Saccharomyces cerevisiae S288C: one gene and its partners. The protein of the gene in region 1 interacts with the protein of each later gene in a biochemical or structural test. Each region holds a gene or a part of one and is shown in the gene's direction. Other genes may lie near its edges.

Region 1 (8,638 bases):
GATGCTTGGAGCAATTTTCCTTTCGAACATGCCAATGCAAGAGTATTCCGTTGGGGTGAAGATGGATTATTTGGTGTCTCAGATAACAAACAATTGGTGTGTATGAATGTCGCTCTGTGGAACGGTAAAGATGAAAGATTGAAGGAAAGGTTGTTCGGGTTGACTGGGCCACAAGGGAACCATGGTGAGGATGTTAAGGAATTGTACTTTTACCTGGACAATACTCCCACTCATTCATATATGAAAGCTTTATACAAGTATCCCTTTAAAAAGGCCTTTCCATACAAAGAATTGGTGCAAAAGAATGGTGAAAGGGGATACGAGGATAAAGAATTCGAAGTTTACGATATAGATGGGCTATACCGTGATAGTGAAACCGGTGACAACCCTTATTTCGATGTTTTTTTTGAAATGGCAAAGGATGACGAAAACCCTAGTGAACTGAACTTTCGGCTAACTATACATAATCGAAGTAAAATCGACTCTGGTGAGCTCTACATAGCTCCCCAACTTTTCTTCAGAAATACTTGGGCTTTTGACGGTACTAGAACAAAGGACAAGCCCTTGCTTGAAAGAGATGCAGAAGCAGCGAACTTAATCAATATGACTCACAAGAAATATGGTAATTGCCAAATGGTCTTTCAGCCATCTCCAGGTGGGTTCTCTTCCGGTACAAACGAGGAAGAGGAAGATAAAGAGGTAGAAGATATAGATCCTCTGCTGCTATTTACCGATAATGAGTCCAATTTAGTAAAACTATTTAACGAAGAAAAGAATCCTTCCGAGTACACAAAGGATGCTTTTGAAGAATATCTTGTTCAAGGCAAAACCGATGCTGTAAATCCTGAAAATAAAGGAACAAAGGCCTGCGCAGTATATCACTTCAAAAATATTCCGCCCGGAGAGTATGTTACTGTGAGATACAAATTTACAAATGACCCAAAAAACTCTATCTTTAAGGCACAAAACCTGGCTGTCGTAGATGAAGATGAGTTTGATTTGATTTTCGATAACAGAGAGGAGGAAGCTGATAACTTCTACTGGAGGATTACACCTTTGCCAATCAGTGATGAATTAAGAAACCTTCAAAGACAAGCTTTTTCTGGTTTGCTATGGACTAAACAGTTCTACAATTTTACATATGATGCTTGGTATAATGGTGACGCCAATGTTAAGCCTCGCCCTCCCCCTAATAGAGCTAATGGCAGGAACAAGAACTGGAAGCACCTTTACATCGAAGATATCTTATCAATGCCCGACAAATGGGAGTATCCATTTTTTGCTTCATGGGATACTGCGTTTCACTGCATTCCTTTAGCTATGATTGATCCAGAATTTGCAAAACGGCAATTGGATTTATTAACCAGAGAGTGGTACATGCATCCTAACGGTCAAATTCCGGCATACGAATGGAACTTCAATGACGTAAATCCACCAGTCCATGCATGGGCTGTGTATCGTGTTTTCAAGATCGAAAGAAACATGTACAACCGTGAAGATCGTACATTTTTAGAACGAGTTTTCCAGAAGCTTTTGTTAAATTTTACATGGTGGGTCAACAGAAAGGATACTGAAGGTAAAAATGTTTTTGAGGGCGGATTTTTGGGTCTTGATAATATTGGCGTTTTCAACAGATCAGAACCACTACCCACTGGCGGTACGCTTGAACAGGCTGATTCTACAGGTTGGATGGCCTTTTTCAGCCTTCAAATGCTAAATATTGCATTAGAGCTCGCCAAAGAAAACCCGGTTTATGAAGATATTGCCTCTAAATTTTTTGAACATTTTATCTTAATCAGTGACTCTATGTCCTTTGAATACGCTACTGATATTACGGGAGAGAAATGTAAAGAAGTTATCAAACAAAACCTATGGAATGAAGCAGACAAATTTTATTACGATGCCATCTCTTGGGGTGACCACAAGGTGCAACTACCAATAAGATCTCTCGTGGGATTGATCCCACTATATGCTTCTATGACTTTAGAGCCTAGTATCATAAAACAATTCCGCGGTTTCAAGAAGAGGGTTGATTGGTTTGTGAACAACCGTCCAGAAATCTTTGATAGAAACATTGCGTCCATGTCAAAAAAAGGAGTGGGAGAAAGACTACTTTTATCCCTAGTTACTAAGGAAAGATTAACAGCCATACTGTCACGTTTGCTGGATGAAACTGAGTTTTTGTCACCATATGGTATTAGATCTCTTTCCAAATATCATGAGAAGCACCCATTCGAAATGAATGTAAATGGTGTCGAATATATGGTCAAATATTTGCCGGGCGAATCAGACTCGGGTATGTTCGGCGGTAATTCTAACTGGAGAGGGCCCATTTGGTTTCCTACCAGCTTTTTAATAATGGAAGCATTACAAAGGTTTTACCTGTACTACGGTTCCGACTTCAAAGTAGAGTGTCCCGTAGGTTCAGGAGATTATTTGAATCTTGCTGAAGTTGCCGAAGAACTTGGATATCGTATGATTCACTTATTTGTTCCAGACGAAAACGGGGAGCGCGCCATTCATTATGGTGATCACTCTAAGTTTCTGTCTTCTGATCCATATTTCAGGGATTATGTGCCATTTTTTGAATACTTTGACGGTGATACTGGAAGAGGGCTTGGCGCTTCACACCAATGTGGTTGGACTGCTCTTGTGGCCAAATGGATAAGTGATGTAGGTATATCCTGTGTAAGACTACCTCGTACGCCAAGATCATCTGTGGCAACGACCGCTTCAACAGAGAGCTCTGAGCAAGGTCCCAAAATGAAGAGAATGGCAAGACGTAAGAGTGCAAAGTCTTTGGTAAACTACACTGCCACCATTTTGGACTTAACCGAAGAAGAAAAGCGCCATCATAGGATAGGGGGCACCCATTCTGGGTTGACACCACAAAGCAGCATTTCAAGTGACAAGGCTAGACATTTGATGGAGGAAATGAATGAAGAGGAAGGTATTCACGAAACTGTGGTACCTGAAGATCGTCACAACTTTGAAACCAAGCTTATAGGCAAGCTAAAAGATAAGGTGAAAAATATGAAAGTAACTGACAAGGCTAAAGATGAGGATATAGACCCAATGGACCCAATGAGTCCGTTGAATAAGGATGTGTCTTGATTAACTGCGGTGAACCTTCAATATCTGTACGTTTGAAAAATATTTCCAACGATATACCTCTATATTTTGATCTATAGAATATTTAATTGCAGTAGTTTTTTATCAGTAAGGTAGCGTTGATATTACTAGTGAAGGTAACTCTATAGTTCCTTGACATGTTCTTTAGATTCTAGAGGTTTTTTATTGAATTTGTTTTCCCACCTTATTTAAACTTTGAGAACAAAACTAGCAAAATCAATAATATAAGGACTGCGATAATGGCATAGCTTATGAATTTATTAGCAACTAGCCTTCTAGTCATTGTTTTTAGTGTCTTTATACTTTTATCCACATATGAATCCGCTTGAAACAAGGTCTGTCTTGCATTTTCCAAAGTTTCTCTCTGTGACCTTAAATCCATCATTATTTGTGACCCTATTCCTTCAGTTTCATTTGCTATTCTACTGGCATCTTTTAGTCTATCTCCCGATTTCTGTAAGATTGCATGGTTGCTCAACAACTGTTGCCTTTGGTCATCGTCAATATTAGATGCGTTAAGATCTCCAAAAAGTCTATCACGATCGCCTGAGTCTACTAAGGATTGCAGTGGTCGTTTGATATCGCTCTGTATAGTCTTCTTCCATTCTCTTAACTTCGCCTTGTACGTAGCACGTTCTGAGGCATCGCCTATGCTGTTATTAACTTCTACATCCATCTGATCTAGCAGGTCAAACAACTCATCTTGTTGCTGTTCTACGTGCTTCAGTGTAGTATTTCTCTGTGATAACGGTTGTGAGGGGGCCTCTGCTAAGCTCGCTTTGGCTTGTTCTAAGGTTGTTTTGAAGTCAGATTCGTATGATATTAATAGGGAACTCATAGTAAGCCATGCAGCAATGTAAAGAGTGCGGTTGATTCGTTTTATACAACTTAATGTAAAGCTTTACACTTTTCCAAGAATAGTAATTGCCCTATATAGCACGACTACTCCACTCCTAACTTTCATTGAAAATTAGACAGTCATGTGATCAGTAATATCGTCCATAGTGATATTTGTTTGTTTACCATTTTTGTTCTTATTTACTCTCTAATATGATTCTAGTATATGAAAGATACCACTGTCGTAGCTCGTATCAAAATAAAACTAGTCAGTCGTTGACCATTGAGCATATCGTCCGAGAATAAGGCTTTACTGTATTATTTTTTGATATCCACACGTTATTGAGCTCATTCACTGATCGACACATTTAGGCGGCTTTTCCGTTTGGCTGAAGCAACTTTGAAACACAACTACGACATTATAATTAAGCGCCTAAATAAGTGAATTTTGTGCCATAGGGTTGGACCGTGTATATATAAGAGCTATTCACTATTTTAATATTTGTTTTGGCATTTGAAACTCGTTGACATAAGCTTTATTATTAGGATGAATAACTCCAAAATTCCTAAACTTTCCTTTCATAGTGATCCAAACAACGTCACTCGAGACTTTCCAAAGACAAAACGACAGAAGGTTCAGAAAAGAGAAATGGATATGATACTAACTCCTAATAACAACAAGCTAAATATATTGCACAGCTCTGGATCTGGTATACGGCGCTGCTACACTGATGACACCTCCGCTACGTATACTAAGAAACTAACCTTTGGGGGGGACCCCAAGATTATTGAAAGGGTTAAGAACAATGAACGTAAGGTTAGAAAAGACATAGATTCACTACTGAATGCTATTTCTGAAATTGAAAAGGAATCTGTTCGTATTCATGCCAGGGAACTACCTGCAATAACATTAGAATTAGATGCAAAAGTCAAAGCGTGCAGGGAGCTACAAAATGAGATTGATGGACTATCAACGGAGATGGACTTGAAGGATAATCAATGTGATCTTCAAAGAAAGAATGTTGAGCTATCATCAAAAAATATAGTGTCTATGCATGCAGTAAAAGTACAAGAGTTCGAAAACGATTTAGAGGAAGAGCTATCGAATGCCAAAAGGGAGTGGACGTATAAATTAATGGAAGTAGAAAATTTGAAACCTGACGAAAGGTTAACTGACGAAATGCGACAGCTTAAAACAGAATTCGAGGAGGTCAATAGGAAACTATTCATTCTACAGAATGAAAATGAGAACGAGTGTAAAAACTACAAAAAAGAATTGGACAAGAAATTCGAGATATTCAAGAAAGTTAAGAACGATGCTAGAATTGAATTAGATGGGGAGCAAGAAAGACTTTCGAAAGTTTTAAAAGACCTACAAGACACCCATGGTGAACTGAAAGAAAATATTAAGACGTGTAGAGATGAGTTTAACGATTTTGAAAAAAGGATTGGAGAGGCAGAAGTGAACTTCCATAGCATGGAACTTGCCGTTGTTCCTCTCAAAAAGAAGCTTGCTTCTACATCACAAGCATTGACGCAAGTGCAGGAGGAGAAGAAGCAAGTCGAAGGAGAAGCAAACAATTGGAAGAAGAAGTACGTTAATGAACTAGAAAAGGTTCAACAGGAATTATACACACGACAAAATCTGGCCACTTCAATTGAAGAAATCAAAGGATACACCCGATGCTTTGCGTATGCCAATGAACGACAAATGCCTGATGAATTCCATATCAACTATGTGGATCGGTGCATTTGCGAGAATAGTGGAGAAAAACGGGTACAAGTATTTGATAGAGTAGTTCTCGAAGAAATCCATAAGGATCACAAACGCTTATATAACGAATGCATTCCGTTCCTGGAAAAATACATCAGCAAGTTAATTAACTGCAGCATTATAGTGGTTTCGCAGCAACCCACAGCACCAATGAAAAAGACTTTGCTAAAACAGTTAATTGAGCAGTACGGTGAGAATTATAAGATGACATTGAACATTTTGCATCTTGACGGAAGTATTAAACACAGTGACGTTGGATTAGATAACCCAACAGAAATTAGAGATCTGTCACAAGATGAAGAATGCATGAACATTTTAACTTTAGATACCAAGTTGGGAAAAGATGAAGAGTCCCATTCAATGAATATATATATCGGTAGTATGTCCACGGTACAGCTGAATAGAGAGCTTGATGATGCTCCCTCAGTCCTTTCGCATATTCTCACTAAAACAAAGCAGTGCTTTGTCTTCAAGATTAACGCTGGTGAAAACATCGAGAAGGCTCTAGCCTTAGCGGGAAAGCTGAAAAGAACAATAACATTACCTCAGCTAGATTAAGAAGGCCAGATCTTGTGCGCTACAATCACTTCGTCTCGTTCCCTTACATAAAAAACTTACGTAGCTACATTGTCGTGCGTGGCATCAACCTAATTATCCTAGCAAAATAAAAGAGAATGTTACGGGACTAACAGGCGGATGTAAATTACTCACTTAAACGCAGCCAAACATCATCGAGAACTTAGGGTAGCGTGCCACAAAATTTGCATGAATAAACTTTTGTTTTCCTAATTCGACAGCATTCCCTTGTTCGCAACACTTCACTGATAGGAAATCGAATAGCGCACACTCTCTTCTGGGACATACCCCAATGCGGTAAAGCCACGAAAACACCGCGCGTAAAGGGGTAAACAAGTCCATTCCTACAACCTCTTGGAGAAATTCTTTACCTACTACAACCCCGCGCCTGATACTTTCAGTATTCATGACAACTCGAGCCAGATCCCGCTCGTGGGCGTGTTCATTCTGTGACGATCCACTAGCGACTTCTTTGTTCAGCCTGCAAGAGACGCGTTCAAGGAAGAATTCGCGATTTTACTTCTTCGAGGGAATCTCGCACCGCGTTAGTTAGTTTCCAACCTTGAAAGCATCGGAGACGCATTTTTGGCGATTTTGCTGGATTGAGCTGAATGGTGCCAGGTCGAGGCTGGGAGGGAGACTAACTCGAAAGTGACGAAGACTCGAAAATTAAAAAAAAAGATACTGCAGAAGGCAAGATTGAGAATGGAGTAAAGGCAGCGTGGGTCCCCTGTGGAAACCGCAGTTTTCCTGCGCCAAGTGGTACCGGTGCGAGTGCAGCAATTAATCTCTCGATATTTTCTTAGTATCTCTTTTTATATAAGAATATATTTTGGAATTGGTAATGCTTATCTTCAATAGTTTCTTAGTTGAATGCACACTTAAGAGCAAATTGGCCAAGGAGTTCTTCGTTCGCTTTAATTTATTTCCTGGTTATTGTCAATTTATTCATCCCATCTCCCCAGGATAGAAGAAATTAGTGTAATTTTGCTGACAATACATTTTAACGACGATAACAATAATAGCAATTAAATAAAATAGCACTACCACCACTCCACTGCTCGTTAGCTATTTCTGTAAAATAAATAAAAAGATCATGAACCACTCAGAAGTGAAAACTGGGTTAATTGTCACTGCAAAGCAGACATATTACCCAATTGAATTGTCCAATGCAGAACTACTAACTCATTACGAAACCATACAGGAATATCACGAGGAAATCTCTCAAAATGTGCTGGTCCAATCTTCCAAGACAAAACCAGACATAAAATTGATCGATCAGCAACCGGAGATGAATCCTCATCAAACTAGAGAAGCCATAGTAACATTTTTGTATCAACTTTCAGTGATGACTAGAGTAAGTAATGGTATCTTCTTCCACGCTGTCAGGTTCTACGATCGCTATTGCTCTAAGAGAGTAGTGTTAAAGGACCAAGCTAAACTAGTTGTAGGCACCTGCCTTTGGTTAGCGGCCAAAACTTGGGGAGGGTGCAACCATATTATAAACAACGTCTCCATCCCCACAGGTGGTAGGTTTTATGGTCCCAATCCTAGAGCTCGTATTCCACGCCTTTCTGAATTGGTTCATTATTGCGGCGGGTCCGATTTATTCGATGAATCAATGTTCATTCAAATGGAAAGACATATCTTGGATACTCTGAACTGGGACGTTTATGAGCCCATGATTAATGACTACATTTTAAACGTTGACGAAAATTGTTTGATACAATATGAACTTTACAAAAACCAGTTACAAAATAACAATAGCAACGGCAAAGAATGGTCCTGTAAGAGAAAGTCACAATCTTCTGACGACAGTGATGCCACAGTGGAAGAACATATCAGTAGTTCACCGCAAAGTACTGGACTAGATGGCGATACAACTACCATGGATGAAGATGAAGAACTAAATTCCAAAATTAAATTGATAAATTTGAAAAGATTCTTAATTGATCTGAGCTGTTGGCAATACAACTTGCTTAAATTCGAATTATACGAAATATGCAATGGTATGTTTTCTATAATAAACAAATTCACTAATCAAGATCAAGGCCCTTTTCTCTCTATGCCCATTGGTAATGATATAAACTCAAACACTCAAACGCAGGTATTCAGCATTATCATCAATGGCATAGTCAATTCTCCCCCATCTTTAGTCGAAGTTTATAAGGAGCAATATGGTATAGTACCTTTCATATTACAAGTAAAAGATTATAACTTGGAATTACAAAAGAAACTGCAACTGGCCTCTACAATAGACCTAACCAGAAAAATTGCTGTCAATTCTCGTTACTTTGACCAAAATGCCTCTTCATCATC
Region 2 (4,222 bases), on another chromosome or scaffold:
GTTGAACCAAAGATCAATTTCTTTTTATGTATTGTAGAGAATTACAATTTGAAAAAGAGCTAAGGGAAATTGCTATATTCTAAAAGAAGTGCACAAGTACATTACCTTGAATTTTTATATTTATTCATGATATATTAATATTAATATATCGATGGTGAAGGACACCACACCTGTATTTCTTTGATTGAAAACAATTTTGTAACATTGGCTGCAAAAGTTTTTGCAATTGATATGAAACTATATGATAATATAGAATGCAAACAAAATTCAATTGCAAGGAGGAGGGAAGATATAGGGCCCCTTTCTCGCTTGACATAGACTAAATAATATACAGTTTTTATTTCTTTATTTTTTTTCTTCTTTTGACATGAACATGTTGATTATTCATTGTCGCTTCCTGCGGCAGCTTTAACTAAATCCAAAAATTTTTCTTTGGAAACTTCAGTGATCAATTCTTTCTTTTCTTCTTTATTCTTAATTTCGCTTAAATTTTCGGATACTTCCTTTTCTGTCTTGACTTGAGTTGCTAAAATGGCGTTAAATAATTTCACGGCACCTTTTTGAGCTATCTTTCTGAGCGCTGTCTCCTTCTCAAGGACTTTTCTAATATTTTCTGACCTGTCTTCTCCGGAAGCAATTGGAATAATATCCGTCTTTCTGGCTTTACCTAATAACTTTTTTTTTTCTGCCAACAATGCTTTTTTGGCCTTGTATTCTAGCTTTTCTGACTCACTTTGCTTCAGCACCTTTTTGTTTCTAGCCATGATGGGGTCCTTCCTGTCGTATGCTTTCAGATGTGATGATAAAATAGCATTTACTGCAGCAGAAAATCCAGTAGAACCATCATCATGTTTGCTGTTTTTCGATTTTTTCTTTCTTGGGAAGTCGTCGTCCTCTTCTTCTTCATCATCATCTTCTTCAGCATCACTTTGTTCGTTATCTATAATTTTAGATGATTCATCGCTAGAGCTATTCTGCTCGTCTTCTTCGGCTTCATCACCTTCCATTATTGTATCTTTTTCCGGCTCATTACTTAACTCTTGGTTGCCACTATTCCTTTTTTCACGCCCAAATTCTGCATTCTTTCTGGTTCTTTTCTTATCCTTAGTGTCTACTCTGTGCTTGGAGCCCATGATCAATTATGTACTGATTTTCCTTCGGCTTCTCTATCGCTTTATTCATAGCATCTGTTTATTACCTTTCCTTATATCTTATGGGCATCGAATCCTAGATTTTTTTCTTTCAAAATTTTCCAATAAGAGGGTAATGGAGATACACCAAAATGAATCTCAAACAAAATCAAAACAAACACTGTTTACAATTTGATGCGCCTCGAATCAAAATATGATGATGAGTATTACAGCTAAAAAAATTATCGAATATTATATAAGCATTAAAGCTATCAATTTTTCCGCTCTTTGTGTTTCTTATTATTCTATTTGAATATACCAGAACAACTATCCGGAGTCTTTGTTTAAAAAAGGTAGATTTTGAAATAAAGGACTTAGAGAAATTCTGGCAACTATTAAACTATGGAATCACTTCCACGTACTCCCACAAAAGGCAGATCTACGCAGCATCTCTCGACACCATCGCCGAAGAATGATATTTTAGCTATGAATGGCCACAAAAGAAGAAATACAACAACTCCACCGCCTAAGCACACTCTTCTGAAGCCGCAACGTACGGATATTCATAGACACTCATTAGCTAGTCAGAGTCGCATATCCATGTCACCTAATCGCGAGCTTTTAAAGAATTATAAAGGTACAGCAAATTTGATTTATGGAAACCAGAAAAGCAACTCCGGTGTAACTTCCTTTTATAAAGAAAATGTTAATGAACTCAATAGAACACAAGCAATCTTATTTGAGAAAAAGGCAACACTAGATTTACTCAAAGATGAACTAACAGAAACGAAAGAGAAAATCAATGCCGTTAATCTCAAATTTGAAACCCTTCGTGAAGAAAAGATAAAAATTGAACAGCAACTGAATTTGAAAAACAATGAACTTATCTCGATTAAAGAAGAATTTTTGTCAAAGAAGCAGTTCATGAATGAAGGACATGAAATACATTTAAAGCAGCTAGCGGCATCTAATAAAAAAGAGCTGAAACAAATGGAAAATGAATACAAAACAAAAATTGAGAAATTGAAATTTATGAAGATTAAACAGTTTGAAAATGAAAGAGCGTCGCTTTTAGATAAAATAGAAGAGGTAAGAAATAAAATCACCATGAACCCTTCCACTTTACAGGAAATGTTGAACGATGTTGAACAAAAGCATATGCTTGAAAAAGAAGAATGGCTTACAGAGTACCAATCGCAGTGGAAAAAGGATATAGAGCTGAATAATAAACATATGCAAGAAATCGAAAGCATAAAAAAGGAAATCGAAAATACATTAAAACCTGAGTTGGCAGAAAAAAAGAAGCTCTTAACAGAAAAGCGTAACGCGTATGAAGCTATCAAAGTAAAAGTTAAAGAAAAGGAAGAGGAAACTACAAGGCTGAGAGATGAGGTGGCATTAAAACAGAAAACTAATTTAGAAACTTTGGAAAAGATCAAAGAACTTGAGGAATATATAAAAGACACTGAACTGGGTATGAAGGAGTTGAATGAAATTCTGATTAAAGAGGAAACGGTTAGACGCACATTGCATAATGAGTTACAAGAGTTAAGAGGAAATATACGAGTTTATTGTAGGATTCGTCCAGCTCTAAAAAATTTGGAAAATTCTGATACTAGCCTTATTAATGTTAATGAATTTGATGACAATAGTGGTGTTCAATCTATGGAAGTGACGAAAATACAAAACACAGCGCAAGTGCATGAATTCAAATTTGATAAAATATTTGATCAACAGGATACAAATGTGGATGTTTTTAAAGAAGTTGGTCAGTTAGTGCAAAGTTCATTAGATGGATATAATGTTTGTATCTTCGCATACGGACAAACAGGATCTGGGAAAACTTTCACGATGTTAAATCCAGGTGATGGTATCATTCCGTCCACAATATCTCATATATTTAACTGGATCAATAAATTAAAGACAAAAGGATGGGATTATAAAGTTAACTGCGAATTCATTGAGATCTACAACGAGAACATCGTAGACTTATTGAGAAGTGATAATAATAATAAAGAAGACACAAGCATTGGCTTAAAGCACGAAATACGTCATGATCAGGAAACTAAGACTACCACGATAACGAATGTTACGAGTTGCAAGCTTGAGTCGGAAGAAATGGTGGAAATAATCCTGAAAAAAGCAAATAAATTAAGATCCACCGCTAGCACAGCATCAAATGAGCATTCCTCCCGTTCACACAGTATTTTCATAATTCATTTGTCTGGATCAAATGCAAAAACTGGAGCACACTCGTATGGCACACTAAATCTTGTTGATTTGGCCGGTTCCGAAAGAATAAATGTCTCTCAAGTTGTAGGGGATAGATTAAGAGAAACACAAAATATAAATAAATCTTTAAGTTGCTTAGGTGACGTTATTCATGCTTTAGGTCAGCCTGATAGTACCAAAAGACATATACCGTTCAGGAACTCAAAACTGACATACCTACTGCAATATTCACTCACTGGGGATTCGAAAACATTAATGTTTGTAAACATTTCACCAAGCTCCTCTCATATTAATGAGACTCTCAATTCGTTAAGATTTGCGTCTAAAGTGAATTCTACCAGATTGGTTAGTAGAAAATGAGGTCAAGGCCTTTTCTGGTCTTTTTCACTCCTTTGACAAATGACAGAGACTGTCCATACATTCATCACATGTAACTATATTATATATGAAACTCATTTTAATGCGCACAGATAAAAAGCAAAGTAAGTAATGAATATTTGTTATGTAAAAATGACCTCATACATGCTAGTATTTACACGAATTTAATTGCTTAAATTTCAATCATCCTTACCCTTTGGTTTACCCTCTGGAGGCAGAAACTTTTGCATCCTCCTTATTGCCCAATTTTCGCCAATGACTTTAACATCTGGGTCCGATTTACCTTCCGTGGTGTTGAACCGCTTCCACCATGAGGGGGATTTGAACCTAGGGTCTTCGCGTGGTAATTTGCGAACTTCATTTCTAATTTCAGCAACATGGGCTCTCAGTTCAGCGGCTAATCTGCTTCTTAAATCTTGCGCCTCTTTACCATATTTCAATTCGTCAGAGAGGTCGTTAGGATTTTTGGGATCATAGTATTT
Region 3 (3,395 bases), on another chromosome or scaffold:
AGCAAAAGAAGGATTGAGGCATCACTGACAACAAAATTGTCTTGCAGCCCAATTAATAAAAAAAAATAAAGTTATATATATAAACAAATACGTAAACAAAGGATAGAAGGCGAACTGAATCATCGTTCAGTAGCGGTTCTGGTTGCCGTTATTGTTCTGTTGAGAAAAGTTGCCAGAAAAATTGAAGGATTCGTGCTGTCCATTGGAGTTCTGGTTTCCGCCGTATTGCGGTCTTCCGTACTCATTGGATTGCTGTTGACCATTCTGTTGCGGTCTACCATACTCATTAGCCTGTTGCTGGCCCCCATAACTCGAATTTGAATTGGAGTTATTGCCCAGGTAGGAACTTGCCATGGAAGCCAAAGCTGAGAATGAACTGGAGTGGCCTTGTTGCTGCTGCTGACCCTGTTGTTGATGCTGATAGTTTTGGCCTTGTTGCTGGTATTGCTGCTGGTTGTTTTGGCCTTGTTGATTGTATTGCTGTTGGTTGGATTGAGTTTGTCCACCACCTAAGTAAGATTGAGCCATGGAGGCCAATGAGGAAAAAGCACCACCAGATTGTCCCTGTTGTTGTTGGTAACCACCGTTGCCACCTTGGTACTGTTGATTATTGTAACCTTGACTATTTTGGTTACCGTTTTGATAGGATTGGTTATAGCCCTGTTGACTATTGTTGGAGTTCTGATTATTATTGGAATGCATAAAAGAGCTTGCCATAGAAGCCAGTGCTCCAAAGGAGGAACCACCGGAGCTTTGATTTTGACCTTGCTGATTATTGTTGTTGGAATTCATGAAAGATGAAGCCAAAGACGCCAAAGCAGTAAAAGAACCTTGACCTTGACCTTGTCCTTGACCTTGACCTTGACCTTGACCTTGTCCCTGACCTTGGGAATTGTTACCTGACTTAAAGAATTGAGAAGCCAAGGCAGCCAGGCCGGAAGCACCCATACTTTGGCTCCCGCCGCCAGAACCACTTAGCATTGACATGACAGTCCCTACGTCAAACCCTCTGTTAGAAGAACCTTTATTTGATGAGTGTGTCATCACTGTGGCTAACAAAGCTAGTTTTCCTAGTTGCGTTTGGGAAGAACCCTTAGAGTCTGCCATTAAAGTGTTCATAAAAGATGAACCACCACCAGCAGCACGATCTTGCGAGGCGTCACTACCACCACTACGGTTGTCCATGACGTATCCTGCGATTTTTTGAATTAATGATTCAATAGTTGACATTTGCTCGTCATTGGGGTTCGACTGAGCTGCGGATGTCAACTTCGCAACAGCTTCTGCATGGTTTCCTTGAGAAAAATGAGACTCAGCCTCTGAGATTAACTTATCCGTATCCATTTCAGATCTTTGCTATACGTTTGTATCGCTATATGTACGTTCTTTTAATGAACTTTCTCCTTTCTTTATCGTGTAGCTTGCTTGGGTATCTTTTAATGAGTTGCGGACAGTGAGATTTTTCAGAAGGGCAATTGGCCAAGACACCAAAAACGTTTGGACGAGACAGGCATCAAAGGACAAGGTAAAAGGCGTTGAGCTGTGGCTGGCTGTGTATGCGTTTGAAATACCATGGATAGATATCAAAGAAAGATAGGATGTTTCATACAAATCCCAAATTTGGGGCGCGGACAACTGAAATACGTGGGTCCAGTGGACACGAAAGCTGGAATGTTTGCTGGTGTAGACTTACTTGCCAACATTGGTAAGAACGATGGATCATTCATGGGGAAGAAGTATTTTCAAACGGAGTATCCTCAAAGTGGACTATTTATTCAGTTGCAAAAAGTCGCATCATTGATCGAGAAGGCATCGATATCGCAAACCTCGAGAAGAACGACAATGGAACCGCTATCAATACCCAAAAACAGATCTATTGTGAGGCTCACTAACCAGTTCTCTCCCATGGATGATCCTAAATCCCCCACACCCATGAGAAGTTTCCGGATCACCAGTCGGCACAGCGGTAATCAACAGTCGATGGACCAGGAGGCATCGGATCACCATCAACAGCAAGAATTTGGTTACGATAACAGAGAAGACAGAATGGAGGTCGACTCTATCCTGTCATCAGACAGAAAGGCTAATCACAACACCACCAGCGATTGGAAACCGGACAATGGCCACATGAATGACCTCAATAGCAGCGAAGTTACAATTGAATTACGAGAAGCCCAATTGACCATCGAAAAGCTACAAAGGAAACAACTACACTACAAAAGGCTACTCGATGACCAAAGAATGGTCCTCGAAGAAGTGCAACCGACTTTTGATAGGTATGAAGCCACAATACAAGAAAGAGAGAAAGAGATAGACCATCTCAAGCAACAATTGGAGCTCGAACGCAGACAGCAAGCCAAACAAAAGCAGTTTTTTGACGCTGAGAATGAACAGCTACTTGCTGTCGTAAGCCAACTACACGAAGAGATCAAAGAAAACGAAGAGAGAAATCTTTCTCATAATCAACCCACTGGTGCCAACGAAGATGTCGAACTCCTGAAAAAACAGCTGGAACAATTACGCAACATAGAAGACCAATTTGAGTTACACAAGACAAAGTGGGCTAAAGAACGCGAACAATTGAAAATGCATAACGATTCGCTCAGTAAAGAATACCAAAATTTGAGCAAGGAACTATTTTTGACAAAACCACAAGATTCCTCATCGGAAGAGGTGGCATCCTTAACGAAAAAACTTGAAGAGGCTAATGAAAAAATCAAACAGTTGGAACAGGCTCAAGCACAAACAGCCGTGGAATCGTTGCCAATTTTCGACCCCCCTGCACCAGTCGATACCACGGCAGGAAGACAACAGTGGTGTGAGCATTGCGATACGATGGGTCATAATACAGCAGAATGCCCCCATCACAATCCTGACAACCAGCAGTTCTTCTAGGCAGTCGAACTGACTCTAATAGTGACTCCGGTAAATTAGTTAATTAATTGCTAAACCCATGCACAGTGACTCACGTTTTTTTATCAGTCATTCGATATAGAAGGTAAGAAAAGGATATGACTATGAACAGTAGTATACTGTGTATATAATAGATATGGAACGTTATATTCACCTCCGATGTGTGTTGTACATACATAAAAATATCATAGCACAACTGCGCTGTGTAATAGTAATACAATAGTTTACAAAATTTTTTTTCTGAATAATGGTTTTGCCGATTCTACCGTTAATTGATGATCTGGCCTCATGGAATAGTAAGAAGGAATACGTTTCACTTGTTGGTCAGGTACTTTTGGATGGCTCGAGCCTGAGTAATGAAGAGATTCTCCAGTTCTCCAAAGAGGAAGAAGTTCCATTGGTGGCTTTGTCCTTGCCAAGTGGTAAATTCAGCGATGATGAAATCATTGCCTTCTTGAACAACGGAGTTTCTTCTCTGTTCA

The links. The genes of interacting proteins can lie anywhere in the genome.
Region 2: the proteins of CIK1 (region 1) and KAR3 form a complex in vitro, tested with the Saccharomyces cerevisiae proteins (5 studies listed by BioGRID, with this or other methods).
Region 3: the proteins of CIK1 (region 1) and BIK1 form a complex in vitro, tested with the Saccharomyces cerevisiae proteins (one study listed by BioGRID).

Annotation. Positions count from the first base shown.
Region 1 is NC_001145.3:655,229-663,866, forward strand, and holds CIK1 (Cik1p), read left to right. Parts: upstream 1-4,516; coding exon 4,517-6,301; downstream 6,302-8,638. Other genes in the region: YMR196W (uncharacterized protein), read left to right, coding at 1-3,114; v-SNARE protein VTI1, read right to left, coding at 3,317-3,970; cyclin CLN1, read left to right, coding at 7,416-8,638. UniProt on the Saccharomyces cerevisiae protein: Together with the minus end-directed microtubule motor KAR3, involved in spindle midzone assembly, karyogamy (nuclear fusion) during mating, and with an essential function in meiosis I.
Region 2 is NC_001148.4:815,234-819,455, reverse strand, and holds KAR3 (Kar3p), read left to right. Parts: upstream 1-1,532; coding exon 1,533-3,722; downstream 3,723-4,222. Other genes in the region: rRNA-processing protein RRP15, read right to left, coding at 381-1,133; TAZ1 (lysophosphatidylcholine acyltransferase), read right to left, coding at 3,920-4,222. UniProt on the Saccharomyces cerevisiae protein: Minus end-directed microtubule (MT) motor involved in spindle midzone assembly, poleward transport of newly captured kinetochores along the lateral side of MTs, karyogamy (nuclear fusion) during mating, and with an essential function in meiosis I.
Region 3 is NC_001135.5:68,099-71,493, reverse strand, and holds BIK1 (Bik1p), read left to right. Parts: upstream 1-1,572; coding exon 1,573-2,895; downstream 2,896-3,395. Other genes in the region: prion domain-containing protein RNQ1, read right to left, coding at 127-1,344; HIS4 (trifunctional histidinol dehydrogenase/phosphoribosyl-AMP cyclohydrolase/phosphoribosyl-ATP diphosphatase), read left to right, coding at 3,161-3,395. UniProt on the Saccharomyces cerevisiae protein: Required for nuclear fusion, chromosome disjunction, and nuclear segregation during mitosis. Probably required for the formation or stabilization of microtubules during mitosis and for spindle pole body fusion during conjugation.